Sus scrofa: one gene and its partner. The protein of the gene in region 1 purifies or fractionates together with the protein of each later gene. This does not show direct contact. Links are inferred from orthologs where the notes say so. Each region holds a gene or a part of one and is shown in the gene's direction. Other genes may lie near its edges. The genes, in order: GNB5 and GNG2.

What was found.
Region 2: the proteins of GNB5 (region 1) and GNG2 purify together in Homo sapiens (affinity purification with western blotting; 4 studies listed by BioGRID and IntAct, with this or other methods). This does not show direct contact. The link is inferred for Sus scrofa from reciprocal best matches to the Homo sapiens genes GNB5 and GNG2.

What each region holds. Positions count from the first base shown.
Region 1 is NC_010443.5:119,583,141-119,586,943, forward strand, and holds part of GNB5 (guanine nucleotide-binding protein subunit beta-5), read left to right. Parts: intron 1-1,582; coding exon 1,583-1,679; intron 1,680-2,688; coding exon 2,689-2,855; intron 2,856-3,803. UniProt on the Homo sapiens protein: Enhances GTPase-activating protein (GAP) activity of regulator of G protein signaling (RGS) proteins, such as RGS7 and RGS9, hence involved in the termination of the signaling initiated by the G protein coupled receptors (GPCRs) by accelerating the GTP hydrolysis on the G-alpha subunits, thereby promoting their inactivation.
Region 2 is NC_010443.5:181,514,673-181,519,157, forward strand, and holds the start of GNG2 (guanine nucleotide-binding protein G(I)/G(S)/G(O) subunit gamma-2), read left to right. Parts: upstream 1-1,422; 5' UTR 1,423-1,670; intron 1,671-4,485. UniProt on the Homo sapiens protein: Guanine nucleotide-binding proteins (G proteins) are involved as a modulator or transducer in various transmembrane signaling systems.

The sequences.
Region 1 (3,803 bases):
GTAAATCAATGGTTAACATCTGAAAATGTTTCCAAAGTTACTTGTAATCCAAGAAATGCAAGGGTTTTTGTTTTGTTTTCTTTGTCTCTTTAGGGCTGTACCTGCAGCATATGGAATTTCCAGGCTAGGGGTCAAATTGGAGCTGCAGCCACCGGCCTACACCACAGCCAGAGCAGTGCCAGATCTGAGTCGCATCTGCAACCTACACCACAGCTCACAGCAACGCCAGATCCTTAACCCACTGAGTGAGGCCAAGGATCAAACCGTGTCCTCACGGGTACTATTTGAGTTCATTACCGCTGAGCCACAATAGGAACTCCAGAAATGCAAGTTTAAATGATCAGATGCTTACTTGCCCCTTGGATTAGCTGAGAAATGCTCAGGGGTGGAGGTGGGGCAGTGAAGGAGCCTTGGGTGAGCCTCGGTAAGGCCCCTGGGTAACTGCCTTCTGCAGGGCAGTTTTGTGATGGGGATCAGGAGCTTTCAAAACTTCCCTATCCTTTGATCTGACCATGCTTTTCCTTGGAAACATTTCTATTCTAAGGATTCTATTCCTTAGGTATTATAAGGAAAATATAAGCAATGCAGATAAAGATTTTTATAGAAGAATGATCATGGCTTCCCCATAGTTTTATTTATTAAAGAGAAAAATTAGACACAGTCAAAACACTTAGCAGGGTACGGCTGTCTAGATTCTGATATATCCACATGGGAATGGAACAACCATGTTAATCATGGTTTGGTTTGGTTTTGTTTTAGATTAGAAGAGATTTATTGAATACACTGCTAAGGGAAGCTGTGGGAAGGCAGGACGAGAGAATTCATCTGCCCTGGGGTAGTGGTTTGGGCTCTTTTTGTAAGAGAACTGGCTTCAGACAGCTCTCTCTCCATTCCTACCAGGCAAATAAGGGATTAAAACATGGCTGTTTGGGCTGCTTATTGGTCAGTTGGAGGTTACCAAAGAGGCTTTTGTTATTTAGAATGGCTCCCACATTATCCCCAACAGATGGACAATGCCACATCTTTGGCATTTGGGTGAAGGTCTCATCTTCTGTAGCCGCTTCATGCTGAGCAGTAATTTTGGTTTTTTGAAGATTATTTAATGATATGAGAAAATGCTCATAATGTAATGCTAATGGAAGCAATAAGGAAACATCCACCTCACTGAAAAATACACCAAAAAAAATAGGAGAAGACTGAAGAAAATAGCCCAGGTAGTAATAAATACCTCTAGGATTTAAGGTAACTTTTATTTCCTTTAATGCATTTCTGAGTTTTTTTGAATTTTTTTTTTTACAGTGAACACATATTCTTTATCAGAAAAAAGAAAAAGAGGGCTTTCACTTTTGTTTTTGTACACAGAGCAATCTGTATTTGCTATTCCTTTGAATCTCTAATGATCCATAGAAATTAATAGGAATCCGGTTTGAGGGAGAAAACACCAGGAGAAAAAAATGAAAGCGATGTTCTACTTATCCCTCAAACCACACAAGCCTCCAGCACCTGTCTGTAGCTCTCTGGTCATTGGTGCACCATACAGGATCCAGAAACAGGTGCTTCTTTGTCTTCTTTGTCATCCCAGTGTCGCCTCTACGACCTCCGGGCAGACAGGGAGGTTGCCATCTATTCCAAGGAGAGTATCATCTTTGGAGCTTCCAGTGTGGACTTCTCCCTCAGCGGTAAGATTTTGCCTCAGAAATTTTCCCTCAGTGAAACCAGGCTCTCTCAAGCTTCCCCTCAGCTAGACCTCCTGGGGGGCCATGTGCCGAAGAGTCTTTTGTGCCGGTTTTCCTCCACTGCATTTTTGATGCCCTGCTTCACCCTGCCTGAGGTAGCTTCCCCAGCCCAGTTCACAACCCCAGGAAATGAAGGCTGGGCCCATCTGATGCTCTTCTTCAAGACAAACTTCTTTTGAAGACTGATTGTATCTTCTTTTGATACAATGATGCATCAAAACTCCATCTGCAGGACCTTTAGGCTTTTCCTGCCCAGCCTTCCATTTTTCCCTTCACACCTGAAAAAGGATTTTTTTCAGAGGTGGCAGGGGTGAAGCAAGAGTCCCTTTGTCTCTCTTTTTTAAAAATTTTATTCATTAAACAATTCTTGAATTATAGTATTGTGCTAGTTTCTTAATGCCCTGAAGCTCATGGTACCTCTGCCTTTATAGCTGGGGTGGCTGCCAATGAAAGTTAGGGCCACACTGATACGCTAGGTCACTGGACCATTCAGTTCTCCTGGATACCCTCCTGTTGTGCAACCATGCCTTTGTGCATGCATGCTGTGACCACTGCCTGGAACATCTTTTCCCTCCCTTCTCTCCATGGCAAACTTTTATTCAGCCCTCAAAGGCCAGCTCAGATGTCACTTCCCCTGCAGTGCCCTCCTAGATCCCTCCTCTTCCTCTGTGATTACATAGCACTTTACATACAGCTGAGCACTTCCACTACAGCCCTGACTACCTGCTGCTGCAATGATTTATGAGTGAGCCTGGGCCATCACCATCCTCCGCAGGTCTCCTTTCTCCTCTTTGAATTCCCAGGGTGAAGCACAATGCCTGGTACATAGTAGGCACTAAATCACTATTTACTGAATAGTGAATGAATGAATGAGCGAGCACATGAGTGAGAGTCATGAAAAGAAAAACAAGAGGGAACTGGCTTCATAACCATCATATCCTCCTGCTTTAAGGTCGCCTGCTGTTTGCTGGATACAATGATTATACCATCAATGTCTGGGATGTCCTCAAGGGATCCCGAGTCTCCATCCTGTTCGGACATGAAAACCGTGTTAGTACTCTACGAGTTTCCCCTGATGGGACTGCTTTTTGCTCAGGATCATGGGATCATACACTCAGGGTAAGAGACATGTTTTACTACTTTACCCTGTGTGTGAAAGCAGGAGTGATTGGCCTTCCTGAAAGCAGAGAGGTCTGTTTGACCTAGGCAGCCAAATAGAGCTCTGATTTCAATTCTGATAGCCCCAGAGGAATGATTTGACTGGGTGGGTAGTGAGTTCCCCATCAACGCAGGTATTTAAGCATAGATACCCCATAAGACTGATTCTCACCTTTGACAAATTAGATTATCATTCTCACCTCCCAGTGGTGCAGGGTTCTTATTCTGTGGTCACAGACCACTGTGAAGCCCACAGAGGGGCTTTCAGAGACCTATGAAGCCCTTGCAGTCATATGCCAAATTGTGTATGTGTGTGCATTTTTCAAAAAAAAAAAATGTCTTCATGGCTTTCATTACATTCTCAAAGAGTTCCAGGACTTTGTCAGATGTTGACTACTCAGAAATAATACCAAGATAACCTGTTCATCAAACAAAGCTTACCTCGCTATAGCAGATGGCACACTTGACAGTCTTATTAGCACTTCAGAAGGGGAGAGCAAAGGCAGATATTTATGAGGTTTTTAGGGGTCTGGTTTAAGGCAAGTCTTTTGATGGAGGGACTTCATTAGGACTGGACAAATTTATGGCATATTTTAAGATTGATAGACATAGAGTTGGGGGAGAGAGAGAATTTCAAAGACCGTCTTTAAAAATTACTTGAAAAACACATCTTGGAGTTGCCATTATGGCTCAGCAGGTTAAGAACCCGACTAATATCCATGAGAATGCAGGTTTGATCCCTGGACTCACTCAGTCCATGAGTGTAGTTTAAGTTGCAGATGTGACTTGGATCTGGCATTGCTGTGGCTCTGGCGTAGGCCAGCAGTTGCAGCTCCAATGGACCCCTAGCCTGGGAACTTCCATATGCCCTGGGTGCAACCATAAAAAGAAAAAAAAGTAGCCAGTCAT
Region 2 (4,485 bases), about 62 Mb from region 1:
CCAAAGATTTGTTTCCATAATCTTCCCAACCATTCATGATCGTGCTGCTTTTTTTTTAGACTTGATATCATATATGTGTAAATTTTCATTTAAAAGCTCCCAGTAACCTTTGGCACCAAGATTCCTGACTTGGAGGTAATTCATGTCTAATCTTCATTGGGTTGCAGGAAGCTGTGGGAACTATGCCCTATTCTCTCCCACCACTATAATTCTTGTTGTTCAAAAGTAGTCCCTCATTTTAAATCTTGAAAGAATCCATTTTGTAATTTTCTGACTTTAGTTAGTTGACATCAGGGTGCTTTTTGCTTAAAAAGTTCTAGGAAGAAAGAACCAAATTCTGTTCATGGAACATCAAATCAAAACAAAGGGTATCTTGTGGATTGTCTCAGATCATTTCATAGAAATTAGGAGTTCCCTGGTGGCTCAGCTGGTTAAGGGCCCTGTGTGTCACTGCTGTGACTTGGGTTGCTGCCCTGGCACAGGTTTGATCCCTGGCCACAGAACTTCTGCATCCTGTGAGTGTGGCCAAAAAAAAAAAAAAAAAAAAAAAAAATTTAAATTCTGTACCTTCCAGACTTAATGTGCTGTGGTCCCCAAGTGGGTAAGGAAGTCTTATCTGGCGACATCCTGGACAATATAGTTCTCCTGTATCCACTCCAGTTTTTCAACATTTTGTTAGTTTACTTGCTGGACAGTTAAGTCAAGGCTGGGTGCAAAAGTGGAGTTGGGAATTAACTCTGTTGCCCCAGAAGATTAGCTTTCCAGACACTGATTTCTGAGAAGAGGTTTCTTAATGGTGTTCCCAGGACATTAGAAAGATTCCCCCTCCCCTCCCCTCCCCTCCCCTCCCCTCCCCTCAGCCCCTGTTGAATCTACAGCTTCCCCAAAGCACCTTGTGTTCATGGTGGAGGAGAATGAGTCACAAGCTGAATAAATTCAGAGCCCTGAGAGCCCTGAGGTTTAGGGGTGGATATACTAACTGTGGGGAATTGGGAAACTAAGTACAGGTCCTGGTGTGGCTGCTGACTGCCAAAGTTACTCACTGTCTCTGAGACTCAAGGTCCTCTAAAAATAAGAGCTGCTGTGTATTGAACACGTCCTGTGTTTTCAGGAATGATGATTATTCTGTGCACCATTTCACTTAATCCTCTGGGGTCTGCTGTGGCATATGACTATAATGGCCCCCATTTTGCAGATGAGGAAATCGAGGCATGGAGAAGTTGAAGGAAGGAGGAGATGGCACCAAAGGGACTTGGAACAAAGAGGGGAAGGGGATTCTAGTCACATGGGTGTCAGCTGCCCAAGGCAAGGGAAAAGGGCTCCAGGGAGCTCTGAAATGGAACGAGAGGGAAAGAAGCAAGCAGCTCGCAGCTCGCAAGAGGAGGAAGTGGGAGATGCGCCGCTTCCTGTAGAAAGACGGATGATTGAAGACAAAGCTGGGTGGGGACTAGTCCCTGGGCTGCGGGCGCTGCTGCTACACATACACACACGAGCGCGCGCGCACACACACGTTCGCGCGCGCACACACACACACTCCCCGTGCTGCGCGCCGTGGGCAGCTCCTACTACTGCGGGGTTGGGCTGGGCTGGCTGCGCTGGAGCTGTGCTGCACACAGCGGCTCGGGGAGGGCAGGAAAGCCACTCTGCTCGGACCAGCCTCGGGAGCCAAGGTAAAGGAAAAGCTTTTCATGTTGCTCCTCGTTGAGTGAGAAAATGATCACCGCCTGCGGTTTTCAGGGCAGATTTCGAAGGGAAGATAGGCACAGTGTTCGGGGATGAGGGAAAAGGGTCAGGGTGGGTTCTGTTAGGAGGGCTTCTGAGAATGACCAAATGTATGACACCTTTGTTTTATTAAAAAAATAACCCTCATTATGTGCTTAGCTTCAGTGACTCATCAGGAAAACAATTAAATGTTTGCATAGTTCTCTTGGAAGAAAAGCAGAGCCCAGTTGAAATCAATTGGGGCTGTGGAGCTGTGGGCTGATCATCTGAGCGTTGCAGTCCTGTTTGAGGGGTGTAAGTGGTGTAAAATGTTCACTGCATTTTCTTTCTTACACACTCCCCGGGGGGAAGCTTCTGTCTTGCAGCAGAAAGACTGTGATTTGGCTTTTGTTGTTGCTGTTAAATCCTTTTATACTCCGATTTTGCCAACAAAGCCTGAAATTGCGTATCTGAGGGGCAGTATTTATCATTAAAAACTGGTACCGCTGCTTTCAGGATAACCTCAGAAACAGCTATCGTTTGCCAACCGGTCTTATCCTAAAGTTGCATCCTTTCTCAAAGGTGTGTGGTGGGTTTAACTTGTCCAGAATCATACTGGTGTATATATGGATTTTATGTTTATGAAGGTTTTATTCATCTCTCGGTCAAGGTGCATATTAGCCTCAGGGACGGACAGCATATGAAAGTGTTGCCGCGTTGCTTTCTCACCTGCATTGGCTGTGGCTGGATGAAATAGTGAAATCAGAATGTGATTTTTATTGTGTGATTTTTCTTAAACAATGAGTCTTCTTGAGGGTCTCTGGCCAAGGCTGTTCATATTTGTGAATGGTATATACAAGTACAATAAATAGGTCTAACAGATTAGCAATGAGATTGTGAGATTCCTTTGGCAGGATACGTATGAAAAGGAATCGAATATGCTAGCATAGCCTGATTTAGAAAATTAAGCTTCATCTCCAACAGAAAGTGCGGTTAAGCAATAAATGATCATTGATAGAAGGTTTTGTCTTGCATTTTTACAGTGAAAGGAGATATGTTTTTCAAAGGAAAGAAAGAACCACTTACAGTGGAGTAAAAATAATAAAAAGGTCATATTTAGACACTCATACATTCTTAAGATGTAGGTTTTAAACACAATTATGCCAGGGGGAGTGTACATGCTCCCTCATTTATCATCATTCTCAATTGTGAAGAGCCATAGTGGTTTTTTTAATATCATTTTTCTGAAATTTATTTGGCTTCTCCAGATTTGGGGGATAGGTAGTAGCACATTTTCAGAGATAAGAATCTTTAGATACTAACGAAAGAAAAAAAAGTCGAATTTTCTGAGCTTACTTATGAAACTGAACCTCTGCCGATGACTAAGAGGTGAAATATTGCTGGTGTTGAAACCATGGAGCGCCCCTGACAGATGCACCGAATTTAAAAAAACCTGTGGGCAAAACAAGTCACGCCACGCATTCCACAGTTCCGGTTCCCGTATGTCTCCTAGAGCAAAATATGTATAAAAGATCGTTTTCCTCTAAAGGAGCTCTCACGTGGGTATTGGACCCAGAATGCCCCTCACTGGAGCTCTGCGATCAAGCTGTTTGGCATTAAATGAAATGGGAACTTGGGAGTCTGGGCTGTATCAATGAGGATGGGGCTCAGCCCGTGGTACTTACTCATCCCCAGGCTGGATTCACTAGATGATGCCAACACCCTGCTTTGTGTGGGGATGCGTAGACAGTCTGCCTTACTCCTCTCTGTGTGTTTCACTAAAAGAGTAAGAAAACGAAACCTTGGCTCATAGGCATAGGGGAGCCTTGAAGCCCCCTGCTCTCTTTTAGAAAACATCTGAGATGCCAGTTATCTGCACAGTCCAAAACATTTCCTTAATTGTGAAATTCCAGCTTGAAGCACAGCATGAATGAGTAACAGCAGATCAGTAACTAAGATGGTAGGAGGTTTAAACAAAAGATGAAAAAGCCCCTATCCTGTAAAATGGGACGATTTCCACTTATTCTGGCCATATGGAATATTGAAAGACATACTGCTTTTGTCCAGGGTATTGGGTGGCTTTTGAGGGAGTCAAGCAACACTGAAATTTTAATTGTGTGTTGTTTTTTTTTTTTTTTCCTGCCATATGGTCAATGGCTGAGTAGAAACATGACTCCATGATTTCCTGGCCAGTCGTGGGCTTCATGGTGGGCACACAGGGAAGGTGTTGGGATGACTGACTTTTTTAGCCTACTTCAGAAGGCAGGCCCGACTTTTAAGTATAAAAACTCTACAAGCCTCTTCAAAGACAACTCTGGGTAAAAGAAAACAGCATGGAGATGGGAAAAGAACGCAGTCAGGCAGATCTGCTTTTAAATCCTATCACTAGTTCTTACTCCTTGACCTGGTACATTGACTGATCTTCACTGTAAAGAGGGGTTAATAATACATAATTAGGGTATTATTCATTGTCTTTGGTTTGGTTTGTTGTATTTTATTTGGTCTTTGCTTTTGTGTGTGGATATGTGAGTGTCCTCCTTGTCCATAGTAGGTACTCAGATGTCATTTTTTTTTCTCCTGCTTGGTGTCAAGAAAAGTTAGCATATTCTTTGTCTTTGCCATTGTCTTAAAGGTCCCAGGAGACATGTTTTTTTATGGTAATAATAAAATGTATATAACATAAAATTTCCCGTTTTAACCATTTTTAAGTGTAGTGGTCTGTGGCGTTAAGTACGTTGAAATTGCTGTGCAAACATCACCACAACCTATCTCCAGCGCTCTTTC